2 linked regions of the Canis lupus familiaris genome follow. Each later gene encodes a partner of the first gene's protein in a complex. Links are inferred from orthologs where the notes say so. Each region holds a gene or a part of one and is shown on either strand. Other genes may lie near its edges.

Region 1 (5,482 bases):
TTGGACTCAAGGCGTGATCCTGGAGTTCCAGGATTGAACCCCACATAGGGCTCCCTGCAAGGAGCCTGCTCCTCTGCCTATGTCTCTGCCTCTCTCTGTGTCTCTCATGACTAAATAAATAAAATCTTAAAAAAAAAGAACATGATGTATAAAAACATGGGGAAGGGGTCACCTAACTTATACTTGGGAAAAGGGCTTCCTGGAGGATGTATTGCTTGAGGTAATGGGTGAACATGGATAAATACAGCTATCACAACTCTATAAATATAAATGTCATATAAATGTCAGCTGAAATTTCATTCGATACTTTTATATCCTCTGTTCAAGGGTTATGCTCTGCTATGTTATAGTATGCAGAATATGACATGATTTTAGGTGATAGGTGGACATGTAAACTTTTTTGTAGTTATCATGTTAATATGTAATAGAATAAAAATAAGCACAAAAACTTGATTTTACAGACTCTTATGGTTTAGGATGAAGCTAAACTATTTAATGAATTGAAATTGACTTTAAAGAAAAATACTGAGTGAATAACAACACCCAGGTTCAGATGACAAAGTTTGCATGGGTGGTATGCAGATTACTGAAGTTTGGAGAATACTGCAGAAGGAAAAATCTGAAGTGAAATTCCTGCTTTCTAGAAACTCAACAGTTTGGGAAGACAGAGCCATGAGGAAGGATGATTAGGGCTACAATAAATTTGAAAACCAAGTACAGGTTTCCCCCACAAAGCAAAATTAGAGTGTTCTTTTTTTTTAACATCTAAGAATTTATTTAAAGACACAAAACAGCTATATTAACAGATACATATACATTTGTTTTTTCTTTATGCTGTTTAATGCTAGGGTGTTCTTATTAAAACTTTCTAAACTAAAATGGCATAAAGTGAAGAAGGAATACCATAACTTTATATGGAAACATTTTTGAGCCTTCCCAGAGCTGAAAAATAACCTCTTTTAGGCATTTCTGATACCTTAGGCCATATCTTACTAACAGATGTACAAAATAAATGGAGATAAAGCACAGATGCTCACAGATACAGTTCAAAGCTATGGGTGGCTTGATGCTGAGATGCTGAATGTAGTTCCCAGAGGAAGAGCTTGGGGATGCCACTCTCCCCTGCTGCCTGTGGTTGACAGGTGCCTTATAAAGGCTCACTGCAAAACACACACTGCTATTTTCATTCACTACCTTTTTTTCATAAAAGCAAAAATTCTCTTTGGGTTTCTTTGGTTAGCAAAAACAGATTCTAACGTAGGGCTTTGCTAAAAGCAAAGTGGCTTAAGGGGAACTTTCTAGAATAGAAAGCAGTGAGGAGCAAAGTGAAAAGGTTAGAGGCTACAAGATCAGTTGGAAGGCTATTGCTCTAGGGCAGGGGAGAGGTAGTAACAGCCTGATTAAGGAGTGGCCATAAAAATAGAAAAAAACAAGTAATGAAACAGGCTTATTGCAACCACTCTATGAAAACTGACTGGTTATAGACAGCAGGAAGGTGAAACCTGTCCAGCCAAGTCCAGGGCTGTTTTATACACACACATACACACCACACCCATAGACACACACATGGAGTGGGAAAGCTGAATTAATGAGAAAATATCATTAGAAGCATGTTTTTATTTGGCTTCAGTTATCAGAGTGCTTTAGTGTTAATTCTCAGATATTTGTCCCCCTTTTTTTCTATTTGACTCAGAGACTGAGGAAATAGTAACATATATATAACGCTTTCTACATTCCAGTCATGTTCTAAAGACCTTTAGTTTCCCGTTCTCATAACCCCTATTTTATAGAAGAGAAAGCTGAAGCATAGGGAGGTTAAGTAACTTGGCTGGACGTAATGCAACTGATAAGTGAAGTAGCAAAGACTAACCCAGGCGTTCTGGCTCCAGAGTATCTATTCTTAACACTACACCAGAATTAATGGGTCGAGCAGATTACGCCGAAGACCTGGTTCGGAGACCACAGTCCCTTCATCTGTAAAATGGCGATAACCACGCTAGGAACCTGCTGCAAAGGAGCGAGATAATGTATAGGAACGTGAACTTCAAATTACATATGTGACTCCACACACTAGTCTCTATCATGTGAATAGGTGAGCTGCATTGTAACGACTCAGCCCGTCAAGTTTGCAGCTCCAAGAGCGAGACCCCGCCCCTGTGGCTCCGCCCACCGCGAGCGGCAGGTGGGGCCGGCAGATCTTCTTTGCGCATGCGGAAACTGCTGCCCGCTCCCACCTCTAACCCAGGCTGAGAGTAGCTGCCGTTTCTGAGAAGACGATTCGTCAGGAGACGCTTGGCGCGGTTTTCCTTTTCTCTCCCCTCTGCGGGCCCTGGTCGTACTTCAGCTGTGCCTAGAGTGTGGTGTGTTCTCGTCTGTCTGCCTGTCTCTCCGCAGAAGGTGCCTGTCGTTGGCCCAGTAGTTCCCTGTCGAAAGTGCCGGCCCCCGCGCCGGCACCGGCCGTAGCCGGGTGGGAAGGCTCAAGATGGCGTGCCTGTTGGAGACCCCAATCCGCATGAGCGTCCTCTCGGTGAGTGACCGCCGCAGCCGCAGCCGCCCGCCAGCTCGAGAGCTCGGGCCGGCCCGCAACACTCACCCCAAACATGGAGTGCCTCCTGGAACACCACCCCTTGGGGTGGCTTCCGGCTCAGCTGTGGGCCGTGGGGAGAGAGAGGGTGGGCGGGAGGAATAGACCGGGACCCCGACCGAGCCAGAAACGTCCAACTCCGGGAGCGCCCACCGGTGCCGTTGCTCAGGTGGCCTCTGGCGGACGGGGTGGTTGGGCATACGGGCGGCTGGTCCGGCGGCTCGGCTTGGGTCTTGCCAGGTGCTTCGCTGAACCTTCCTGTTAGCGTTGCCGCTTCTCCGGGCCGAGCGCGGTACCCTGTGGGGCGCGGGGCTTGCTCCTGGCCTGGGAGGGAGCGCCCGTCCAGCCCCCCCGCGGCGTTGGCAACGAGGGTGCAGGCACTTCGGCCCCCACAGCCTGCGAGCGGCCAGGCTCGGGCTAGAACCGCTTGCTTCTTGGCAACGGGGATTTCACGTCAGCTGCAGCGTGTGTAGTTATTTGAGCCCCTCTGCTCTGGAGGTCGCAGCTCCGAGTCTAAAGGAACCCGTGCCTGGCATTACTTTTTTTTTTTTTTCTTTTTCTTTTAAGGGGAGTCAAACGCTGAGAAAAAGAAAAAATTAAAATTTTCCTACTACTATTGAAAGAAGGGAATGTATTGACTCGCCAGGAAGTAATACCTAGTTGTTTGTTCTGTTTTGTTTTTTTCTTCAAATTAAATCCGAAATACAACTTTCACTTTTCACTCTATGGCTCTTGAGAACCAGGACCCGGAGTGAAAGTTACTGAGGAATAACTCCAGAGGATTTTTACTACGATTTAGAGCTGTCCAGCTCAGACAAGAGTCACTTTACCTACCAATGGTCCATCTGCTGTTGTTGTAAATAGGCAAAGACTGGTTGGCCATCTTTTAGACTTGGGGAAAGCTGTCTGATTCTGAGAGGGTGGTTGGATTACAGATGCTTCGATTTGTCAGGTTCCTAGAATCTGTGACTCCAGCGCATTTCTTTTCTCTCCCCTGACTTCCCCCATTGATTCACCTATCTGGAAGCCCTTAGGGCATTAGCTGTGATTCAGGGTTAGAACGCTGTGGCATACCAGAACCTAGATCATTTAATTTGGGGGGATGGGGGCTGTCAGCAGATTTGCCTCCTGATGGGTTTTAGCAGTCCTTTTCCTTATTTTATACAGCAATGGGGGAAACACTGTTCATCTAGGTATTGAATCAGGTTCGCCTTTTTTTTTTTTTTTAAGGTTTGTCTTTTATTCTACCTCTGTAATATTTTGTGGGAGAGCAGGTGAATGACTTTTCCCTCATGTTTCTTTTTTTTTTTTTAAAGTATGCCTCTCAACTGTCCTCAATTCCCTTTAATTATCTTGTTTATCCTTTTTTTTTTTTTTTAACGTTTTATTTATTTATTCATGAGAGACAGAGAGAGAGGTAGAGACACAGGCAGAGGGAGAAGCGGCTCCACGCAGGGAGCCCGATGTGGGACTCGATCCTAGGTCCCCAGGATCACGCCCTGGGCTGAAGGTGGCACTAAACCGCTGAGCCACCCGGGCTGCCCATGTATATCCTTTATTTCACCTGAAGCTTTACTTTTTGTACACTGTTAACTTGTGTCGTGTCTACAGTTGAAAATTTTCATTTGTTTCACTCCCTGAGTAAAAACATTTCCTGTTTAATTCTTTTTTTTTTTTTTTTTTTTATGATAGTCACACAGAGAGAGAGAGGCAGAGACACAGGCAGAGGGAGAAGCAGGCTCCATGCACCGGGCGCCCGATGTGGGACTCGATCCCGGGTCTCCAGGATCGCGCCCCGGGCCAAAGGCAGGCGCTAAACCGCTGCACCACCCAGGGATCCCTCCTGTTTAATTCTATGCAGAAACTTCTTGAAGAGTATTCCCTACTTCTTCTGGGGATTTGCTTTAGTTCTAATGTCACCGAAGGCTAATTTATTTTCACAGTCCCAATGCCTTGTTTGTCAGTTCACCAGTTACAGAGCCTTGGAAAATCAGACACCACTGTGGCACAACCTTTTGAAATACAGAGTGCAGGTGGAACAGGAAATATTAATCAGAAATTACCTTGAAATAATTGATTCCTTTAATATAGGCTGCTTACTGTGCACCAGTTATGTACAAAACTGTAATGGATACTTTTAGGGAATGCAAGGATGAGATCAGATATGCCCTCAGGGATCGTACAGTCTGAAGGAGCCCACAGTCCAATAAACATAGTTCAAGCAAGGGGCAAATCAAATGCCTTTAAAGGTTTCATTCAAGGCCCTTTGTACCTTCTCCCCATGAGAGATCTCTTCACTCTTACAACCTTAACTGTGATCAACTCATAGATTACCTTGCCAACCTTGACTTTTTCCCACCTAGTCTCACATCTTCAATTGCGTGGATGTTACCTAAGACTTTTTTTCCCTCTAGTATCTATTTTTTTCCCATTAGTATCTATATTATCATTCAATGAATTATCATTGAATTTAAATAAATTATTGAATTGTATTATTGGTTTCAGAGGTAGCGGTTAGAGATTCATCAGTCTTATATAATACCCAGCGCTCATTACATGCCCTCATTAATATTCATCTCCCAGTTACCCCATCACCCTGTCCCTCTCCCCTCCAGCAACTCACAGTTCGTTTCTTATTAAGAATCTCTTTATGGTTTGTCTGTCTCTCTGATTTCATCTTGTTTTATTTTTTCCTCTTTCCTCCTTATGATCCTGTTTTGTTTCTTAAATTCTAGGTATGAGTGAGATCATATAATTGTCTTTCTCTGATTGACTTACTGCACTTAGCTTAATATCCTTTAGTTCCACCCACATCGTTGAAAATGGCCAGGCTTTTTTCTTTCTTTCTTTCTTTCTTTCTTTCTTTCTTTCTTTCTTTCTTTCTTTCTTTCTTTCTTT
Region 2 (4,827 bases), on another chromosome or scaffold:
ACATGAACTTGGCTGTGTTCAGCGGTAGTTCAAATATGTATAGGGGAAAAGAAATATTACTCAGTAGGAATAAGCATCAAAATAATGGTATAGTTAATGTACTGGAATACAGACTTGTGTGTATATTTTGTATTTCAAGATTTGACTCAAGTTTTCCAGTGAATTGGGTCACTCTAAGAATAATTTCAGCTACTATTGGTTATTAGGATCCCTTTTTTGTGAAATCTATTTATTTTTCATGTAGATTCCATTAGATTATAGTTGTCTTCATTCTATATAGGGAAATCTGACCACAAGCCTCCAGTTGAAGGAGTTTTTAAATCTTACTAATTATTTTAATATATTATTATTAGACATTTAAGAGACAGCAAAAGGAGTAAAAGACCAAATAGGAACATGGAGTGAGGATTCCTAAAAGCAGGATAAATACTTAGGATTTCATGATAACGATGGTACAGAATGGGTAGGTGATACCAGAGCAAACAGTGGGTATCAATAAAAGTATATTGTAAAATGAACAACCTTTATTTCAACTTGTTCTTTATGGAAAAGTAGAATTTCATTGGAATGGAAGTCAGCAGGAAAACGTAAGTCCTATGATAGTCAACTCTTTAGATTATACCTTTGCTAAAAGGCTGGAGATGATGCCTGGGTGTCAGTAGTACTCAGTGGTAGCTCTTAAAGCTTGAAATAGTGCAGACCTAAAAATCAAATAAGTACAAGTAAATTTAAATAGTCATTTTCCCTGCTGTCATCTCATCAAAGAAAATAGCAGAGACTTTCAGATACCATGAATCTAACAATTTGTCCTAAATGTCTGTGTAATTGCTTTGAACAGTTGTACATTTAAAGATATAATAAATCTTTGTGTGTGTTTTTTGGAGGAGATAATGATTGGAAGACATGATGGTGATTCTGAAAACATGCTTCTTCCCTGGAGCTATTATCATCTGGTATCACAGAGCCTCTGCACTGGTACTTTTTGCCAGCACAGCTGACAGAACAGCAAAGCCTGGCTGAAAACCTCATAGTTCCATGAGTTAGAGTGACGATAAGTTGCTCTCCTGGGGTCACCTCCCCTTCGCACTTTAAAAATGGTTGCCACTGAGGATCATAGCAGGATCGTAGTAGAGGAAGCCTCATTTAACTTAATTCTGTAACCAGAGTCCAGTGAGGGCCACCACCCCATTCTTTCTAAAACTGACACTCACCGTGACCTCCTAGGAAGTCCATTTTAAAAAGTTCTTTCCTACTTTTGTAAATCATTTTGACCAATTAGATGAAGTAAAATGCAAAATCTGTTTCTTGGAGATTTTCCCTGCTGCCCCCTCCATCCCTCTTCACTGCTTCCTACCATTTTCTGATAGGGTGTTAGTAGTGCCAGATGGCGGCAGGTTTAGGAGTTGAATATTTGGATATATTGGATATTTGGGTTAATATTGTTGAGTCAGTAGTTTTCTTTAACCTTTTTTTTTTTTTTTAAGTTTTCTTTAACCTTTTGCAGTTAGATGTAAATGTGTTTTGACCACTTGATGACTTTGAAAAACAACAAACTTGTTCTTTGAAAGCATGGCACTTCCATGTAAATCACGTTTGAGTAACTAATCTTTCATGTACAGTAATACTGATTTGGATCAGAAGGGCTGTTTTTCGTGAGTTAGTATTATCACCCTCATAGACTTTGTTCTGAAAAAGCCTCTCTCCCGTTCACCTGTGTTCACCTCTTGGAGATCCTATCCCATGCAACTGATGAGAAAAGAAAGGAATTGAACTCCATAACACCAAAGAGTTATTAATCTGTTATTTAAAAAGTGTTGTGTTTTAGAAAATGCCAGCACTTCACTAGGATAAGTTGTATAATTAAAGGTGAAACAGAAATTATGGTTAGGAGGATTGAATATTGAATATAAGGATGGGAAGTGACAGGAAAGGACCCTGGGGATAATGGGGAACCAAGAATCAAGAGTCTGTCAGGGATTCTTCTCTTGTGACAGTTATTCTTAGGGAGAGTACTCTTAACATGGCATTTGCGGTTCTCTTTTTGGAAATACTACATGACTAGAACAAAATGATTCTTTTTTTAACTGATTTTAAAGTTGAGGTCCTTAAAGCCTTATTTTAAGGGAATAGGTTGGTTTTGTAACAACAGAGTAGATCTTGTTTTATGTAAGTTGTAGTATGAAGCCTGTATTCTCTTGACTAAAAGATGTGTGTTTCTTCTTTTTATTTTAAGAATGGTTTCATCTTATTTAGTCCACCATGGGTACTGTGCCACAGCAGAGGCCTTTGCCAGATCTACAGACCAGACCGTTCTAGAAGAATTAGCTTCCATTAAGAATAGACAAAGTAAGGACCCTGTGGTGCATGGATAACACTTGTTTTCAGATTATAGGTTTGATTTTGTTGATTTTTAGAAATTATATTTTTTAATTTAAAAAATTTTCAAATATATTAACTTAAAATTGATGCCTCTGAAATTAATCTTCATTGACATTTTTGAAGACCAATTTAAAAAACACTCACATTAAGACTGTGTTAGCATTCTGGATATAGAAAGATATTTTGGAGATAGTTTTATAAGAAATGTTTACCTTTTTTTTTTTTCCCCTTAAATGTTTGCTTTAGATTTTGGGAAGTAAACATTTAACAAAAAATTTTTTAGTAGGTAATGTGGTCCCATGATTAGATACTGGTGAAGATAATATGTAAAAGAAATATTAATCTTTGCATTTGAATTGCTATCTAAACTTAAGATAGTATTGATCTTAAATTTTAATTCTTGGGTCCCAGTACTCTGGCCAGAGCTGTCGGGCCTGTTCTACCAAGGGCAAGTCAGCATGTCACTCCTCCACAGTTAGCCTTCCTAAATGCGGTGCAGTTAGTCCATTAGGGAGGGGATGACTTGGTGAGAGGATAGGCATCAAAATACAGGTGATGGGTGAAATCATGATGCTTGGAAACAATTTTTTTTATAGGTCAAATTTGCTATAATAACACTAATTACATTGTGTTGTTAACTAATCATAGGCTTGTCTGTCTTTCTTACTATGCTCTGAGCTCTGGCAAACAGGAGACAATCACTTACTCTGTGCATCCTCGTCATCTAATTTAACAAATATCCAACACACAGGGAACACTCAGTCTATATCTGGGGAATTCAGGTCTTACTCAAAAGCCAGTGTTCTCTTAGTACTGGGAGCTAAAGGTTATTGTATTTGATAAGACATTCTGAATATTATCTCTAATGTTTGCTATGATCTTTAAAAAATACACTTCACTGAAGTATAATTGACATATTAATAGCTGTACCTGTTTAGTGTGTGTGACTTGATGAGATTGGGAAAAGTATTCTTGAACCCAGCACCACATTCTAGGCATTTATAGAAACACATCCATCTTTTTAATCTTAGAGGTTAATATTTCAGTATTGCTTAACAGGTGTTTTTCCTGTATTACCTGTATATTTGTGATTTTTAAAAATAGTTTTATGAAGTACTTATTTTTCTAATTTTTAGTATGTATGAAATTTCTTCTTGATTGCCTAATAGGAACTAGATTTTAGAAAAATGAAAGTTAATTGCAATAATTTATTTAAAGTTGTTTTTTTTACTAACTTTTTTTTGAGGACCCACTATTTTGTTTCTACTCAAAAAAATCAATCTCTTGTTTTCTTTTTCTAAATAGGAATTCAGAAATTGGTGTTAGCAGGGAGAATGGGAGAAGCCATTGAAACAACACAACAGTTATACCCAAGTTTACTTGAAAGAAATCCTAATCTTCTTTTCACATTAAAGTAAGTTTAATAAAATGTTACTGTATTATGTGTGTGTTACATATAATCAGAATTATTGTCATGCTTTAATAGTTTTAATTTTTGTTTCACCTTTTTTCAGATATTTACATACAATTTTGTAATATAGCACATTCAAGTAACAGATTATATATATAAAAAAAAACCACTTGTGTTGATTATAAGCAGATAGGATCTTTTCCTGTGTGTTTGCTCTTCTATTATGCTAGCTGTTATGTTCAGAAATGTTAAAATCTTAATTATGAGATGGATATCCATTTTTCTTCCTGGAAAGTACCTTATTGTAAGTCTGTGTGATTTTGAAAATTGGTAAAATGTACATAACATAAAATTTGTCATTTTTACATGCACAGTTCTATGGTATTAAGTATAGTCACACTGTTCTGCATTTGTCAGCAACCAGCCATCTCCAGAACTTTTTTTCGTTATCCCCAGAGAAACGAACTCCCCATTTCTCCCTATACCCAGCTCCTAGCAACCACCATTTTACTTTTCTGTCTCTGTGAAATTGAATTTGACTACCCTGGGTACCTCATCTAAGTGGAGTCATAACATATTTGTTCTTTGTTACTAGCTTATTCCTAATAGCAACATGTCCTCAAAATTCATTCATGTTACAGCATATGTCAGAATTTCTTTCATTTCAAAGGCTGAATAACTGATAGACATTTGGGTTGCTTCCACTTTGGTTATTGTGAATAATGCTGCCATGAACAGGAGTGTACAAATATCCACTGGAGTCCCTGTTTCCAGTTCTTTAGGGTATATACCCAGAAATAGAATTGTTGGGTGTATATATATATTTCATATATATACACACACACACACACACAATATATATATACACACACACCCACACACACACTGTGTATATACTTACATATACCTTGTGTGTGTGTGTGTGTATATATATATATATATAATCTGTTTAATCTTTTGACAAATTTGATCCTCAGAATGCTATAGCTCTGTGCCATTTTAGTCTCACCATGTACAAGGATTCTAGTTTTTCCACA

The links. The genes of interacting proteins can lie anywhere in the genome.
Region 2: the proteins of ARMC8 (region 1) and RANBP9 are in contact, whole or in part, in a cryo-EM structure (PDB 7NSC), measured with the Homo sapiens proteins. The link is inferred for Canis lupus familiaris from reciprocal best matches to the Homo sapiens genes ARMC8 and RANBP9. Residues at the interface, in NP_001350870.1 of Homo sapiens: Gln245, Arg246, Asp247, Val277, Leu278, Lys279, Ile317, Ile320, Thr321, Asp322, His323; in NP_005484.2 of Homo sapiens: Tyr271, Gly298, His299, Ser300, Leu301, Gly302, Ile303, Asp337, Asp340, Tyr341, Arg343, Glu344, Thr347.

The regions. Positions count from the first base shown.
Region 1 is NC_049244.1:34,937,683-34,943,164, forward strand, and holds the start of ARMC8 (armadillo repeat-containing protein 8), read left to right. Parts: upstream 1-2,233; 5' UTR 2,234-2,482; coding exon 2,483-2,527; intron 2,528-5,482. UniProt on the Homo sapiens protein: Component of the CTLH E3 ubiquitin-protein ligase complex that selectively accepts ubiquitin from UBE2H and mediates ubiquitination and subsequent proteasomal degradation of the transcription factor HBP1.
Region 2 is NC_049256.1:14,383,597-14,388,423, reverse strand, and holds part of RANBP9 (ran-binding protein 9), read left to right. Parts: intron 1-2,233; coding exon 2,234-2,346; intron 2,347-3,684; coding exon 3,685-3,793; intron 3,794-4,827. UniProt on the Homo sapiens protein: May act as scaffolding protein, and as adapter protein to couple membrane receptors to intracellular signaling pathways. Acts as a mediator of cell spreading and actin cytoskeleton rearrangement.